Linked DNA regions of Caenorhabditis elegans. The protein of the gene in region 2 interacts with the protein of the main gene of each other region in a pairwise test. Each region holds a gene or a part of one and is shown on either strand. Other genes may lie near its edges.

Evidence for each region. The genes of interacting proteins can lie anywhere in the genome.
Region 1: the proteins of hid-1 (region 2) and atz-1 interact in a two-hybrid assay, tested with the Caenorhabditis elegans proteins (one large-scale study listed by BioGRID).
Region 3: the proteins of hid-1 (region 2) and mig-39 interact in a two-hybrid assay, tested with the Caenorhabditis elegans proteins (one large-scale study listed by BioGRID).

The regions. Positions count from the first base shown.
Region 1 is NC_003282.8:12,374,167-12,377,908, reverse strand, and holds atz-1 (Protein atz-1), read left to right. Parts: upstream 1-1,787; 5' UTR 1,788-1,855; coding exon 1,856-2,151; intron 2,152-2,202; coding exon 2,203-2,280; intron 2,281-2,631; coding exon 2,632-3,064; 3' UTR 3,065-3,228; downstream 3,229-3,742. Other genes in the region: wdr-46 (WD repeat-containing protein 46), read right to left, coding at 3,230-3,541. UniProt on the Caenorhabditis elegans protein: Plays a role in meiosis, germline development and oocyte morphogenesis. May play a role in DNA replication.
Region 2 is NC_003284.9:2,487,162-2,494,841, forward strand, and holds hid-1 (Protein HID1), read left to right. Parts: upstream 1-1,886; 5' UTR 1,887-1,928; coding exon 1,929-1,997; intron 1,998-2,209; coding exon 2,210-2,398; intron 2,399-2,446; coding exon 2,447-2,632; intron 2,633-2,679; coding exon 2,680-2,848; intron 2,849-3,135; coding exon 3,136-3,314; intron 3,315-3,369; coding exon 3,370-3,712; intron 3,713-3,760; coding exon 3,761-3,912; intron 3,913-4,577; coding exon 4,578-4,656; intron 4,657-4,729; coding exon 4,730-4,894; intron 4,895-4,947; coding exon 4,948-5,064; intron 5,065-5,116; coding exon 5,117-5,221; intron 5,222-5,271; coding exon 5,272-5,367; intron 5,368-5,677; coding exon 5,678-5,795; intron 5,796-5,985; coding exon 5,986-6,144; coding exon of another isoform or gene 6,145-6,148; intron 6,149-6,830; coding exon 6,831-6,894; 3' UTR 6,895-7,178; downstream 7,179-7,680. Other genes in the region: K02E10.4 (uncharacterized protein), read left to right, coding at 703-807, 866-947, 991-1,055.
Region 3 is NC_003281.10:8,465,425-8,470,048, forward strand, and holds the start of mig-39 (Zinc finger BED domain-containing protein 39), read left to right. Parts: upstream 1-1,610; 5' UTR 1,611-1,667; intron 1,668-2,284; exon of another isoform or gene 2,285-2,574; intron 2,575-4,624. UniProt on the Caenorhabditis elegans protein: Regulates the timing and orientation of distal tip cell migration during gonadal development. May act in parallel to cacn-1 and Rac GTPases to control the anterior and posterior migration of distal tip cells.

The DNA of each region.
Region 1 (3,742 bases), on a different chromosome or scaffold from region 2:
ACTGGATGTGATGGAGATTTCAATTGTGAGACTGGAACTTGTTTGGTGAGTTTTCCGTAGTTTGAATGTAACTTTTTTGAAGTCTATAGATCTATACTTTAACAGTGTATCATTTTGAAAGTATAAGTTTCTATGGAAGTTTTGAAACAAATAAACACTTGGGGATATTTGATCAAAACATTTTGAACAATTTTTTAAGTTCAGCCAAAAAATTGTGTAAAAGGGAAATACGAAAAAGTACTTTAGATGTTCTAGAATATCTGAAAGTCGTGAATTGTCAAGGACGTACATCATTTTTTTTTTGATGAATATTCCAAAATCTATTACCAAAATACATTTTCATTTTCGGGCAAATTTTTGGTCTTTTTTCTGTCAAACTCTGGGCACGTTTTACGGTCGTCGAAACTATATAATCTTTTTGCCAAATTTTTGCTACTTTCTGCCAAACTTTGGGCAAGCTTCTCAACAGTAAATGTTGACAGGAAGTTTCAAACGTTTCGCAGAATTCACACGCATATACTGAATAAGTTTCAAAACATCCGAAATTGGGAATACCCGAAGTCTTGAAAAAAAATGAAAAAGGTTTGAGAGTTTTACACTTTTTCCAGAACGCAGAACAATGCAATGGAAGGACAGGAACTCCACCCGCATCTGTCGCAGAATTCAATTTGAAATCTTGGGCTGGAAGAGACTTTTATGCAGTTAATCTAATCGATGGTTACAATCTCCCAATGTTAATTGATGGGTTGGGATGTCAAAGAGCCGGTGGATGCATCTCTGATGTAAATGCTGCATGCCCTACAGAACTTGCAGTGAAGAGTAGTTCAGGTTACACTGTTGGGTGTAAATCTGGATGTCTTGGATATGGAACTGATAAGGAATGCTGCCGTGGGGAGTATGATTCTCCAGATAAATGCACAATGAGCTCTACAACGAAGATGTTCAAGAATGCATGTCCAGGTGCATACACTTATCCATTTGACAACTCAACAATGTTCGTGTGCTTGAAACCTTCGTCGTATACCGTTCAATTTTGTTGAATTTTTGAATTTTTTACCAAAAACTTAACTGAAATTTCTAGATAATTTTTTTTTCGAATGAACTATTTTCGGTTTATTGAAAGTTTTTGATTCTTGCTTCACTGATAACATGAGAAAAAAGATACAGTTATCTGACCAATCAACTATTTAATTCGGCGTCTGTCATGCCAACTTTTTGGTTAATATTCACAAAAAAAAGTGTTGCAGAAAGTTTGTAGCAGAAAGAAAATGCCTAGAATACAAGTTGGTAATTGAAATTGGAATAATGTCTGTCACCTATTTTTGATTCAACGTTTGGTAAAAAGAGCTTCAGATATTGAAAACTAATGGAAACTTTGAACATGACACCTTTTTTTACCCAAAAAATGTAAAAATGCAAGAAAAATATATTAACTAAAGTTCTGACTATCAATGACCGTTCTTTAGGTTTCAAAAAATTAATCCAGATAATTTTCACAGCCACAGTTTAGGTAGTACTGCCATTTCTCTTGACAATGCATAACATTTTAGGTGGCCTTTTACAAATTTGAATATGCATTTAGCTCATCTAGTTCACTAATTACCCTTTTTAATGAAGTGTTTCATTCCAATAAACGTCTCCTATGACCTAATCTCCTTCCCTTCGAGACCATATAGAGAGAGAGAGAGAGAGCAAACATAGTATGTCAGACAATGATGACGTGTCTACCTCTTGGAAAGGTCAACTGCTACGGTAGATACCATCTATTAGCAGTGCTCCTCTTCTTGTCTCATTTCACTCGCACAGGTCCCTATCGACTGGTTGTCACCCTTTTTCTGTCTGTAATATTCAAATAATGGCTTCGATCGAACTCCGCAATGTGCAAACCGAGCTTGCCGCGAAGAACTTGCAATTCAAAGTGCTCACTGAAAAGTTTTTGGAGCAACGAAAAGAGCTTTTCGATGCGAAGAAGACTGATTCGAATGTCGAATATGTGGAATGTTTGAGTGAGAAATTGAGAGTTGCCACGGAAAGAATTTCGGATCTTGAAAAGGAGACGAAAGAAGGAAAACAAGTAGCAAATGAGGAAATTGGTCGATTGGAGAAACTTTTGAGGGAAGCACAGCAGAAAAGGGATGCGAAAATTGATGAGTGAGTTTTTAAGAATTTGAGTTCCTAAAATTTATCGAATTATTTTTTCAGGTCATATCAGACATTCTTGAGAATCGAATTACTTGTGGCTAACCTTGGTGAGAGCACAGATCCTGAGAATGAAAAACGGTGAGTTTCGGAGCCTACCCAAGTTAAAACGCAACGCCTCTAAAGTTGGGTCTCGTTAGGTATTGGCGAAGGCAAAATCAGAAATTCAAATTTTTTCAAGAGTTTTTCCACTATTTCTATGTCGAAACAAATCATGTAAAATACACGAGAAACCCTTATTCAAATGCATCTTTAAAGACCATTTCGACATTAAAATCGATAATAACAACAAAAACGTTTGAATTTACGAGTTTCCTGCCAATACCTAATGAGACCCATCATTGGAGCGCGCTTGTGCCTTGATGATTTCAAAAAACCATTTTTTGCGTCCCCATAATAACAAGCACAAATGCAAAAAGTAACACTTTTCAGAATCAAAAATTTGATGCCAGCAGCGAAAACTGGTATTCCACCAGAGGGTGTTTTGAGATTGACGATTAATGCATTGGACAGTGCTGCTAGAGAATCCAAGAAAAAGACGATGGCCATCGAGAGCCTCACGAAACAGGTCGACGATGCGAACAAGCTCACTGAAGTCTATATGAAACGGCTTGAAGAGCTGGAGGACAAGCATCGATTCGAAGAGGCGCTCACGTTGAAGATCCAGGCGATGATGATCGAGACGACGGGGCAGTTGGAAGCCCAGAAGAAGATCATTGCGGATCTTCAGAAGAAGAATGACGATCTTATGAAAGAAGAGGAAGGGGAAGAAGATTATGAAGAGGAGGAGAACTACGAGGTTGAAGAAGACTTTGAGGATGAGGAAGAGTATGATGAGGAGGGAGAAGAGGAAGATTACGAATAAAATACATACTAGTTTCTACTTTTTTATTTTACTGTTTGTTTTTTCCTTCGTTTCATAAATTTCCAAATGTCAAATCTTTTAAAGAAATAATTTCAAAAATTCAGTAAAAACAAAACGAAAATAACGCAAAATCAACAACAACAAAAAATAAAATTGATTATCCTTCTATTTGAGACGATCCAGAATGTGTTTCTTTTTCGGAGCCTCGTCATCCACTTCCGGTGCTTCAAAAACTTCCTTCTCCACCGCATGTTTCTCCATATTCCGTTCCATTCGAATCTGATCCTTGACAATATTCTTACGAGCCTCCATCTTCCAACCACTCTTCTTGCTGCGCATCTTGTGACGTGGCGTATATTGAACAGCCATCGGACGAATGTAGAGAATCTTCTTTCGTTCTTCCTCTTCCAACTCGAGAAGTCCCTCATTGACCTTGTTAATGTCGTCTGGGTTAAGACTGATGAGCTCCGGTTGAATCTGAAAATTAGAATTTAGTTAGCATTACAATTTTTGCAAAAATTTTTTTCGCTTGCCAAAGAAGGGTCTTCTAAATTGCTGTAGTATAAGAAAACTCCGAATTTTCCGTGGAAAACTTTTGTGAAATTTAGAACCAAGTAGTCTGAAATAAATTTTCAAAAAAAATCTCATTTTTTTCGAGATTGAACATAATTTTGTAAC
Region 2 (7,680 bases):
AACTAAGTATTTGGATCATTTTGATATTATTGTTTCACAAAATTTTTTTTGAAAAATTTAAACAAATTCAGTGGTTTTTGCGAGAAATATCAAAATTCCGAGGGGGTTCTATAGAAGTTGCACGGTCGTTTTTACAACTTTTTGACCTAATTCCCGTAGTTTTGAATGGATTTTTCTAAAAATTTTGAACAGTAGGTTTTTTGGCATTTAGAATCGATTGGCATAAACAAAATTTCATGAAAAATATCAGAACATGCTAAAACTCGAAAATTTAGTGGGGGTTCTATAGAAGTTGCACGCACTGTATATATACCGTATTTCCTAATTTTCGAACGGGTTTTTTCCTCATGTTTCCCATTAAGTTATGGCAAATATCATCAATTTCAATAACAACTTATGAGCCGAAATGGACGAATTTTACAATTCATACTTAAAAATTGTCCGAGTTGTACTCATGTTTTGCCTATTTTGACTTGTTATACCAAGTCTGTAAAAGTTTTCCTAATTTTTAGAACGATTTTATAATGCAAATTTTGAATTCCTAAAAATAGGGAACAAATGAAGGGGTGCAAAACTATTAGAGGTGCTTAACTAATAAGGGAAACACGGTAAATCTATATATATACATACGTTCAAAACTGTTTGAACCGCTACTCCTCGCATTTTTCGAGTTTTGAGTTTTCAATTTTTTTTTCTCTGTAGGCCGTTGCTCGTCGAAACCGACTGAATGGAGTTCAAAGTTTTACTGGAAGCACGGAATTCAAGCCATCAACTTTAAACCTCGAGAAAAATCAGCAAAACGATCCGGTACGTATTTCTTTTAACTTTTATATATTGTTTACCTTTTTTTTTCAAATCTTTTCAGAATCGTCATGCATTGGCACAAAAACTGCTCTCGTATCAAATTAGAAATGGGTGGCCGTATGACGAGCGCTTCTACAGACCAGGTTTTGAAAATTTTTCAGATGAATATAGACTTGGAAATTTCAGATGTGGATGTTTACACCGAGGAGCAAAAGTCAGAAATTGCTCGAATGCGTTTCCTACCGCAGTAACTATCACCTGACTGGTCTTTTTAATAAATCGAATAATACTCAACATCACGTGTTTTTATTTAAATAAATACCTCAGTTTATTATTTTTGTTTTGAATTTTCTTAGATTTTCATCTTGAAATTCTCGTTACATTTGGCAAAAGCATTATGGAACTAAATCTGGTTACGATTAAAATCTTATACTTACTGAGATAAAAATTTATTTGCTGCTTAGTGTTCTATAGTTTAGTTTCAAATTTATTTTTCCTTAGAATAAACTATTTTAATTCATTTTATTTCACCAAACTTACAAATAAATCTACGTTTCCGGCTAACTTGCAAGTTAAAAAAGGCAAACAACTTGATGGCCGAGTTCTTGTGGCCGAAGTTTTTAAATGAGGACTAACTGCTTGGCAGGTAATAAAGGTATGCAGTGAACCGTTCTTGTGTGCTCTTTTTATTGATTTTGTTATGGATTTTTTGATACATAGCATTCGTGTAAAAATTCCTATATCAAATCTTTGAAAAACAAATCTTTTTTTTTGTAAATATTGTAAATGTAATTAACATATCCTTTTCTTCTTTCTTCCTGCTCTGACTTGTTGTTCCACATTAGAATATTCATCATGTGGCCCGAGGGGACCTTATTGATTTGGTGGCGTTTCTCTTCCCGCTCGTTGCGTGCACGTCTGTCCCTATTACGCTCTATCTGCCTCGTCCTCTCCGCCCGCGCTTCCAAATGGAGCCTTCTTCTTGCTCTTGCAATTCATTTTTCACCCACGTCATCCGGCTGTGTTGCTCTTTTTTTTGCTTCTGGACTAACCGTCAACTTTAATGAATACTTCTTACAGGAAAAAAATAAACCAAAAACAAAAGGAAAAAAAATTGAAAAAAAATGGGTGCTCAGGGTAGCAGAGTGGATTTTAAGCAAGTTGTACTAGATGTGACGTCCAAGCCGGGAAAAGTTAGTTTTGAATCAAAAGTTTTCAAAAAGTGAAACTATTGCAAATACTGGAACTTGTATATATTCCTCGCCTTTAAATATTACCAATTTTGAAATTTTTAAGCGACTTTGTTTGGCAATATTAGACTAGTATTAGTATTTTTCTAGAAAATATTTTTGGGCCAGGTATGCCACACAAGTACCCAAATATTGCCAACTATCTAAAATTCCAGGACGATGAGACATTTTGGGATCAAGCTTGGTGGCCAGATTCAGTGAACGAGATTTTCGCCATGATTTCCGGAGAAGACATTCGAAAGTTGAGAGATGAATCGCCGAAAAATCTAGCCACACTCGTTTACAAAACCGTCGAAAAACTGCAGTTTTCTAGAAATCATCCGGCTACCATTGATCAGAAGAAGGTTTTTTGATTGGTTTAATTCAATTTTTAAATTATTCTTTTTTTCCAGACTATCAACGCAATTCGACTGCTCACTAGGATCGTACCATACTTGCTCGAAGATGCCGAGTGGCGTGGCTACTTCTGGTCTCCGATTCCCCATGGCGACGCTGCAAAGCCGCTGGCTGCGGTACTTCTTGAGACACTCTCAGATCTTCTTTTCTGCCCAGAATTCACAATTACACATGCAAATGGAGTGAGAAATACTAGTTCAAAGTAAAATTAAAACAATTATGGTTTCAGCAAAAAATCGACGATCTTTCCACAATCGATTCGTGCGAGTACATCTGGGAAGCTGGAGTAGGATCTGGAAATAAGCCTCCAATGGTGGCTCTGCACTATCAGAATCGGACGGAAATATTGAAGCTTCTGCTTACATGCTTTGCAGAATTGATTTATGCGCCGGTTTCAGGTAAGCATCGTTGTTTCGAGTTGTTCCTGAAATTTCAAAATTTTAAAAATGGAAACTAATAAAAGTTTTAAGGGTTCTTGGATTACTCAAGTAGTGTCGGAAAATTAAAAATAACGTCAAAACTGTATTAAAATACATAAAAACATGTATTTTACAATTGCCTCGCGCCCCTTGTTATAACACACAAGTTATACCACTTTTATTTCTCCACAACAAAACAAACGTTTTAAAGGTTTAAAAAGCTATCTGAAAATCTACTACTAAAAATTAAAAAAAAATTATTCCAGACGAGACCCGACTTCGGTGGGTTATCCACTTCACGTCTGTCACAAACCCGCACGTTCTTCCCATTTTCACTTCGTTGCTGAACATCGTTTGCGCCTACGACCCCGTTGGCTACGGATTGCCCTACAATTATTTGCTATTCAACGATTCTAGAGAACCACTAGTCGAAATTGCTCTCCAGGTTTCTTTTGAAAAATTTTGTTTACCAATAGTCACCGTTTTTTTTTGTTGTTCAGGTGCTCATTGTATGTTTGGACAAAGAGACTCAACCGAACACGGATGATTCCGGATATAAAGACAACTACTTCATCAATTACCTAAGTAGAATTCACAGGGAGGAGGATTTCGATTTCATGCTGAAAGGAATCACACGACTTCTCAGTAACCCCATCCACTCGTCGTCATCTTACCTTCCAAACTCAACGAAAAGAGTCAACTTTCATCAAGAGCTATTGGTGCTTCTGTGGAAATGCTGTGAAATCAATCAAAAGTTCATGTTCTACGTTCTGAAAACTTCTGACGTTCTGGACATTCTCGTACCAATTTTGTACCACATTTCAGATGCCCGAAATGATTCTGGTAGAACTTTTGAAAAACTGAAATAACAAAATGTAGCAATATTTTCAGGAAGAGTTGGTCTCATCCATATGGGTGTTTTCATTATTTTGCTGCTCAGTGGAGAGCGAAATTTTGGAGTTCGTCTGAATAAGCCATACACAGCCAAAGCAAATATCAATGTGCAAACGTTTACTGGAACACACGCAGATTTATTAATTTTAGTGAGTGCTTGATGTAGATGAAATTTGAACTATGCATTTAAAGAACTAAAAGATATTCCAAAAAATATAATATCATCCAACTTTAACTACATGAGTATCATATTATATTTTGCTTAAACATACTAAAACATGCCCAAAATAACCGAATTTTATAATAAGACTTCTCAAGAAATATCCGAAAATTTTTTATGACTGGTCAAAAATAGGGTTCAAAAAAGAGCAAAATTTTGCTGAAATCTGAAACTCTACCAACTTTTTCTTGTCACAACAGCGTAAATACAGTTTTTATTTGATTTATCGTTTTTAATGCATATTCTGGTAGTTTATCTCGCAAAAATTTTCTGATTATGACATATTTTAAGCAGTGGGGCAGGCATCCAATTTTAAGCATTTTTGCGTGCTTATGGGCTTAAAATTTGTCTGGTCCAACGAATATACACGAGATATACTACCTAAATATGCAATAAAGGGTCACGAATATCTAATAAAACTGTATTCTAGCAGCTACTGCGGCAAAAAAAACACGTTGGTGAAATTTCAGATTTAAGTAAAACTTAGCTCTTTTTTTCAAAATTTTGACCCGTTATAAAAAAATTTCTGAAATTTTTTTGAGGAGTCTCATTATGAAACCTTGAATATCCCTTCTCTAAATTGGTTTTTTTCAGGTTATCCATAAACTAATCACAACTGGAAATTACCGCCTGCAGACCCTGTTCGATTGTTTCCTGACAATAATGGTGAATGGTAAGCAGCGCATTAGTCAATACAATAAAATCACGCAAAAACACTTGATGAATTAAACACTTGAGATTTTCAGTGTCTCCATACATGAAATCGCTATCAATGGTGGCGGCAAACAAACTCGTTCATCTCGTCGAGGCATTCTCAACTCCTTGGTTCCTGTTCTCATCGCCCACAAATCCTCAACTAGTTTTCTCACTTCTTGAGGTGTTTAACAATGTTATCCAATACCAATTTGATGGTTTGTCATTGCAATTTAAATTTTAAATTTAAAATCAGTCTTGGTTTTTTCAGGAAATTCCAACTTAATATATACAATCATCAGAAAAAGGAATGTATTCTACCAACTTTCCAATTTATCAACGGATGCTGCTTCCATCGCGAAAACCTTATCAGGACGAAAAAGTAAATGTAAGTAAAATATTTCATTATTCGGATTAACCCTTTAAAAAATGTGTTGCAGCTGCTAATCGTGACGAGATGGTAGATCAGCTGAAGTCCCCAACCTCTACCGCTCCACCGGAAATCCCAGCAGCTGATGCTCCCGCAGCACAGACATTAGGAGGAGGTAGAGCATATTATTTCATGTTTGAATTATAAATGTCAACTAATTTTCAGTGAGCACAACGACGGGACTTGCAGCAACGCCAGCTCTTGCTTCCATGACAGGAAATGTTGGAAACTGGGAAGAACGGCCGGAGTCTTCGCAAGATAGTAAGTGGCAAATGTTTAGAAAATATATTTGAAATCATTTAAGTGATGCTAAAATGTCCAAATATCATTGTAGTGTTATAAAAATGGTAAAATTTTACCCAAAAAAACTTTGATACTAATTTTTTAGGCAACTTCTAGAGTTGAATCTGAACCACATTTCGCAAAAATTTGGCGACTTACCAAAACTTTAACTCATAAGTTTTGAAAATCTGAAAATGTTTTCTTATGTTGGCCGAATGTATTTAAACTGAATCCCAACTCACAATACTGCTTGAAAAATTTTAAATTCCAATAAAAAAAAATTTTGTAGACGAGTGGATAGCAACACAAGAATGGGCCGATGCATGGAAGTCGAAACTTCCTCTGCAGACTATCATGAGATTGCTCCAAGTGTTGGTGCCGCAAGTTGAAAAAATTTGCATCGATAAGTGAGTTATTAATTTTGAAACAATTTAACTACATAGCATTTCAATGTAAATGTAAAAAACAATGTAAAAATGATAAATAAAACGACAACGGTTAGTCAAAGTTGAGAATACTATCTGAGGATATACGCTAGATACTTCATATATATAATTATTAAATTTATTTTCCTAAAATGAAATTCAATATTTACAGAGGCCTCACCGATGAGAGCGAGATTCTGAAATTCCTTCAACATGGAACTCTTGTGGGACTTCTTCCAGTACCACACCCAATTGTAATCAGAAGATATCAAACGAATATTGGCACAAATCACTGGTTCCGCATCTACATGTGGGGAGTCATTTATCTCAAGTAAGATTTTGGGCTGGATGGTCTATAATAGGAGCAAAACGTCTGGACTGAAAATGTGCCGAAATGAACGAGTTTCGTAATGAGACTTCACAAAAAATTATTAAAAATTTGTTTTGGCAGTTCAAAATTTACTAATTCTAGCTGAAATCGTAAATTTTGCCCATTTCACAGTGGTGCAGCCGTCCGAAGTTGACTTTTTCTAATTTTTCATATTTTCCGGCATATTTTGAAAGTTTATCTCAAGTTATTTCTTTGATTAAGGCACATTTAAAGGTAAACCATATTCAACACAACATTTTGAATCGTCATAAAAAAATTTCCGAAAACTTGTTGAGAAGTTTCATTACAAAATTCGTACATTTGAACACACTTCTAATCTATACTAGGGCTTCCATGTAGGCGCCAAAACGCTTGCCGCGCACGCCTGCCTTGCGAGCCGCGCATCCTGCATAGTGTGGCCCGGAACCCAAAAAATGTCGGCCGCGTCGAAAGAACCACTCTTCGCACAATATGGTGTGAAAACCAGGCTTTTGATTTCACGCCATGGTGCATCAGGAGGCAGTCGTCAGGACCTGAAACCGCGCCTGGCTCCCATGGAAGGCCTAGTCAATACCTTCTAAGTACCCAAAAACCAATACTCTTCTTTTAAGAAGATATTTCGCAACATCACATGTCCACTTTTTCAGACACACACAACCCCCAATTTGGTACGACACCGATGTGAAACTTTTCGAGGTTCAACGAGCGTGAACAATCTAGAACATGTGTCACTTTATGAATATCGCTTGTGCATTATCCTGCATTTCGCATATCTTCTTTATGTTGTGCATGTGAAGTTTTTCTTGTTTTCTTCCTCTCATTCTCATCCCCATTTTTTTTTCAATACCACATCAAACAAGCGTTCGAGCTTCGTATATCTGTGTTCACGTAAATTGATTCTCTCTTTTTTCATTCAGCATTTTCTGTTTTAAAATTTTTGAAATTTTAGATCTCTGAATGTTTCTTGTGAAAAAAATGAAGTAAAAACCTTATTTATATTCATATTCAAAAGGCATAATATCACTGGTCTTTTGACAAAGGACGTAAGAAAAAAGTACGCTGTCCTAATGTTCCCGGCCGAAAACTCAATTTGCGTTTCACAAAAAAAAAGTGAACCACTGCCGGAAAATGATGTATTGAAGCTACCGGCTAACTGAATTCTCTATTCTAACAAAATTTTGAATATGCTGCTTTTTGTGGAAAATCAGTTTCTGTCATGAGAAGAACTATGCATTATTGTGTATAATTGAAGATGGTGCATCGTCAAAGGGGGTTAGTCTAAATACATTTATGTATAATAGTTTAAAACTAACGAGAACCACAGTTTTAACTTTTAAAATAGAGTAACGGCAATGAGGGGATATTGTTTGAATAAAACCACTCCTATGGTGCCAAAATTACCAAATATAACAGCGCGGTTCTTACTACACTGCTGAAAACTTTGGTAGCCGATGTGCAACATCTTCGATCTTGTCTTAAATTGAATGATATATAATG
Region 3 (4,624 bases), on a different chromosome or scaffold from region 2:
TAATACAGTTTAGTATGATCTAGATAACTAAATGAACCACACAGTTCATATTTGTTTCTCACTTGGGTGGTCGTAAAAAAGATAAAAACTGATTAAAAGTTATGCCTGCTGGGGCTTTACCACAATATATATATTTCCCTGATGCCACCTTAACCTCTACCAGGTCAAAACTTCATGCAACCCTTCAAAAAACCACCACCAGAAGCATCCCGTCTATCATTGCTAAATGTTTGGCAAAAATTATATGACCCATGGGACTGGAGAAAGGTTTGCCCTTATTTCTTGGATCCGGAAATTTTGAGAGTAGTACTCGTAACTCAAAATGAGATGGACGATGCCCTCTGGGCACTTTGCTCCTGATTTTTAGATTTTTTCAATTTATTTTTGTAAGGACCTAACAATAGAGAAACCTTAAAACTCGACGAATATTTTGAGAATGTGTCCCAAGTGTTGTGTTATCCCATACCCAAAACCCGTATTGTCCCTTCGTTTGTTTTGCAACAAACGAGCCAGCGGCTCCTCTTAAAGAGCTCAGCTCGACTCGGGCTTCAACATGAGCGCGCGCCAATTTTTGATGGATTATGTCGTTTTGATGGGTAAGAGCACCTGATGCTCCTTAGGGGGATGCGACTCGGATACACGAGCCTGAAGATGGGGAGAGTCCAGCGTTTATGGTGTGTGAGTATGATTGATGGCCTAGGTTCGTTATACACTATGACAACTCTTCCTTCTTAGTTTCGACATCATTGTGAGGCCTAAACAAAACTCTCTCTGTGATTACATCTCTTGTCTCACTTATTCCCGATTGGCTTACCGTAGTAGCTTCTTCTTGTAGGTCGCGTATAAATACTACTTGGGTGGGTACTGGTGGAATCCAAGTTTCATTTTTGTTTAAGTAAAACTTTTTTCTGTAAAACCAGGTACCTATCAGGGCCACAGAAAAGGTATCCACAACTTGTCTGGTCGATTTTCTGCCAATTCGATTCGTTGGAAATTCTTAATTATTAATTTTACGGGAAGTCGTAGTAACCAGCATTTTAAAATCTGAATTGGGTTCTACAAAAGATTAACCGGACCCTACATGACTTCAGTGAATCTGAAATCGTAGACTTCTAGATGCTCATTTCAGCTACATGCTTCAAATAGTCCATATCATTCAGTATTATCAAATCTTATTAAATTGAAAGAAATTCAGTTTTTTAACCCAAACGTTCTATTACCAGCATCTCCAAAATACCTCAATTCCTTCTCAAAAACATATCCATTCACCTATTCTCATATCCATGTCCTTCGACCATTTGTCTTTTCCTTCTTCGGGTTTTTTGTCGCAACGCCCTTTTTTGCTCATCCCAATATCCCTGTGTGAAGCATTTTTTCTCAAAAATCCAGAGAAACACAAAAAAGAGTAACCCATAAATTTGCGGCATTTCCTTCACCACCGAAAGACGAAGCCCTCATTTCCAAATAAATTCATATTTTTTTGTGGTTTCTTTTAGGTTTTGTAGATCCCGATAGCCGCCCAAATTTTCCCCATGGGACATGAGATTTCATTTGTTTTATTTCTTTACTAATTTAAATTTTTTTAAATTAGAATCAAGACCAATTTTCAGGTACTATTGCCACAATTGCTGAGATCATTGCACAAATCCCAGGAAAACCCGAAAAACGTAAGTTAAACCTAAAAACTAGAATAGTGTGTATACTATAAAACCAAGTCAGAAAATATCTATATAGTTATGATGATGTTTAGTAAATATTGAGAGAAGAAGGAAAAAAGAAGGAATGGTATTTGTGAGTGTTTTATGGGCGATTCGCGCTCCACATTTCACTCAGTACCTGACAGTTTATTGTTATTTATTTTTAGAGAAAAGTAAGAGTTTTCGAATTTATCAACTTTCAAAGGTTTTATGAAAGAAATTTTGGTATACTTATTTACCCACTGACCCACTGAGATTATTCAAAAATTTCGGATAGCTTTAGGTTTTCTTTTTACAAAATATGATATTTTGTTTTTATTACACTTTACCAGTTAAAAATGTTTCAATATACAATTTAGATTTAAACATTTATTGACTGTCAAAACTGAAAATCTTCCAACCCAAACCCTTCCAATTCATTTTCCATAACTCGCACATTGTTCTTCTATCATTCAATTTAGCAATAAGTGGCTCTCGAAATCTTTGTAGGTCCCACCAGTTGATGAGAATCCACGAACACTTTACACCCAAAGAGTTTTTAGGAGGTCTATTGATGAAAAGACACGGAGGGGCCGGATGGTTTTTGGGAACAAATGAAACCATCTGGTTTTGGTTACCACGGAGAAAGAGGGGGAAAGAGCAAGTTGGGGAAATGGGCAAAAAATAAAGAGGAAGAGCACTTCGGTGTTGGGAAAATTTGAGTCACTTTTGAGTTTTGTTAGACCAAATTTTTGCTAAATGATTTTAGGATATGGGGAGAGTATAGATAACATTTAGCATATATAGTAGGTTCATCTTCAGGTGTTCGTATAACTTTTCAATCAAATTTTGCGATTTCAACGAATTTTTTTTCTAACTGCCAATAATTTACGATCATATCAATTTCCAATAGGTTGAGCATGTTTATTTACTCAAATTTCGTTCGAGTCGTCCATTGTATAATATGAGTCAATTTTCCACCAATTTTCTCTTATTCCTCTCTCTCTTTTTCTCGTTTCCTCAATCACCCATCACTACTGTTTGAGAGCCGTCCTGTGACAATGTATGCTGACTCATTTTGTATTTTCCTCTTCCGAAAATTGGCGATCATTACTATTATTTCTGTGTACCGCCCTTGTCTCAGCCATCTCCTCCTGCTAGAATGGTTTCATGAACATTCGTATATTTAAATAAAACAGTTTAGGTTTCGAAATGAACAGTGAAGTTGTGGCCGAACAAGTTGAGATAGCCCACTTCTTTTTGGCGTCTTCTGGGGTAGATTCATATCTTTTTTATGCGTATTTTGGTGGGAGGGGGCCGAGACAGAATTCAAGATCCTCCTAAATATGTATGGTTTCTGAACCGTTGCATATTACTTTTCAAATCCATTTTGCTCTTATTCAATTATTTTCCCAATTTTTACACAACCTGTAAATAATACCACGAAGTCCTTTGAGATAACCAAACATCATAATTAAACACTCCAAAAGTTGTAAGATTTTTGTAAATTTTATGCCAAGGCCTTGGTAAATGTCCAAATTATCTAGTTTCAGATTTTTGAGAAATTCAGAGTATTGTTGCATTTTTGAATGACTTCTAGGTTTATCAGTAGCAAAAACTTTGCAATCGCCATTGATTGACTAAAATGAAAAAATTTTCAAAAAATGTTATGATATTTTTCTTTCAGTTTAAATAAACACTTTTCTCTTTAGTGCTCCTCTACTTTTAAGCATTTAAAAGTCTTATTGAACTTTCAAATTATTTATTCTTTGAAAACTTCCTCTATTATCAAAAATCAAGGGTTTCTACCACGCAAAACCAAAATAAATCAAATCAAGATATTCAAATAATTCTTCATTTTTCTTTTTCCCTTTCATTCCCATTTCCCCAAAATCCGTCGCAAAATCGGCTCTTGGACACACGCCGATCACCTCTTCTTCTTTCATCTAGAATCCGTCGTCATCCTCTCGCGTACAGCCAAGTAGCTTACTGATAAGCCAGCAGCTCCTCGAGCCGTCGGGTTTTTTTCAACCGTGTTTTTAACATTCTAGGTAGATATAGATATAACTCACCGGTATTATCGTTTCATTTTAGTATTGAAAACAAAGATTATCTTTTGGGTATAAGAAAAAATGAAATAGTAATTTTGAAGAGTGGTATTCCAATTTTTATTACCTATAGGATAATTTATTGTTTTTATTATTTTTGCTGTGAATAACAGTATTTGTCATATATTAACATCTATCAAGAAATTTCAAAAACTCTTAGACTATCATATTCTATGTTCTACAAGCATATTTTCTTGATAAGTGTGACGTCACACACGGTTTTTAAACTTATGGTAAGACTCGATTTTAATATTCAATAAAAATATCCCTGTGTTTTAAACTGCGGAGAGACCGTCAAATCACCAAGAGTATTTCAAATGCTCAATTTGTGAACTGCGCTAAAATAATTTTTTGAAAATCCGTAATTTATCTAACCATATTCCTAATTTTGGCATTTCCATTTTGAATTTTTTTCCAGTCTTTGAAATTGTTTTGCTATCACAATCAAAAAGTTTAATTGAATGTTGAAAACTACCAACTTCTAAATTGAAATATTATGTTTCTAAAGTATAATGGAATTGAATTTCATTTTCAACTTTAGTTTTATTTTTCAACAAATATCAATCTAAAGAAAAGCCTACAGGTAATCCTAGTTATCCGCTTTGCAGTTTTTGGAGAGTTATTGAATCATAAAATCTTATCAAACTGCACAATAGTTAGGAAATAGTGGAAGAAAATCAGTAATAGAAGGCATCTATGGTAGGCAAGCATTTCTTTATGCCTGCCTGCCCATCGCGTGGCCACTTACAGTTAGGCAGAAGTGTTGACACAAGGTATGAAAAATTATTACATCTTCCATCCAAAAAAACGTTATGGAATATTTTAAAATGTACTGAAGAA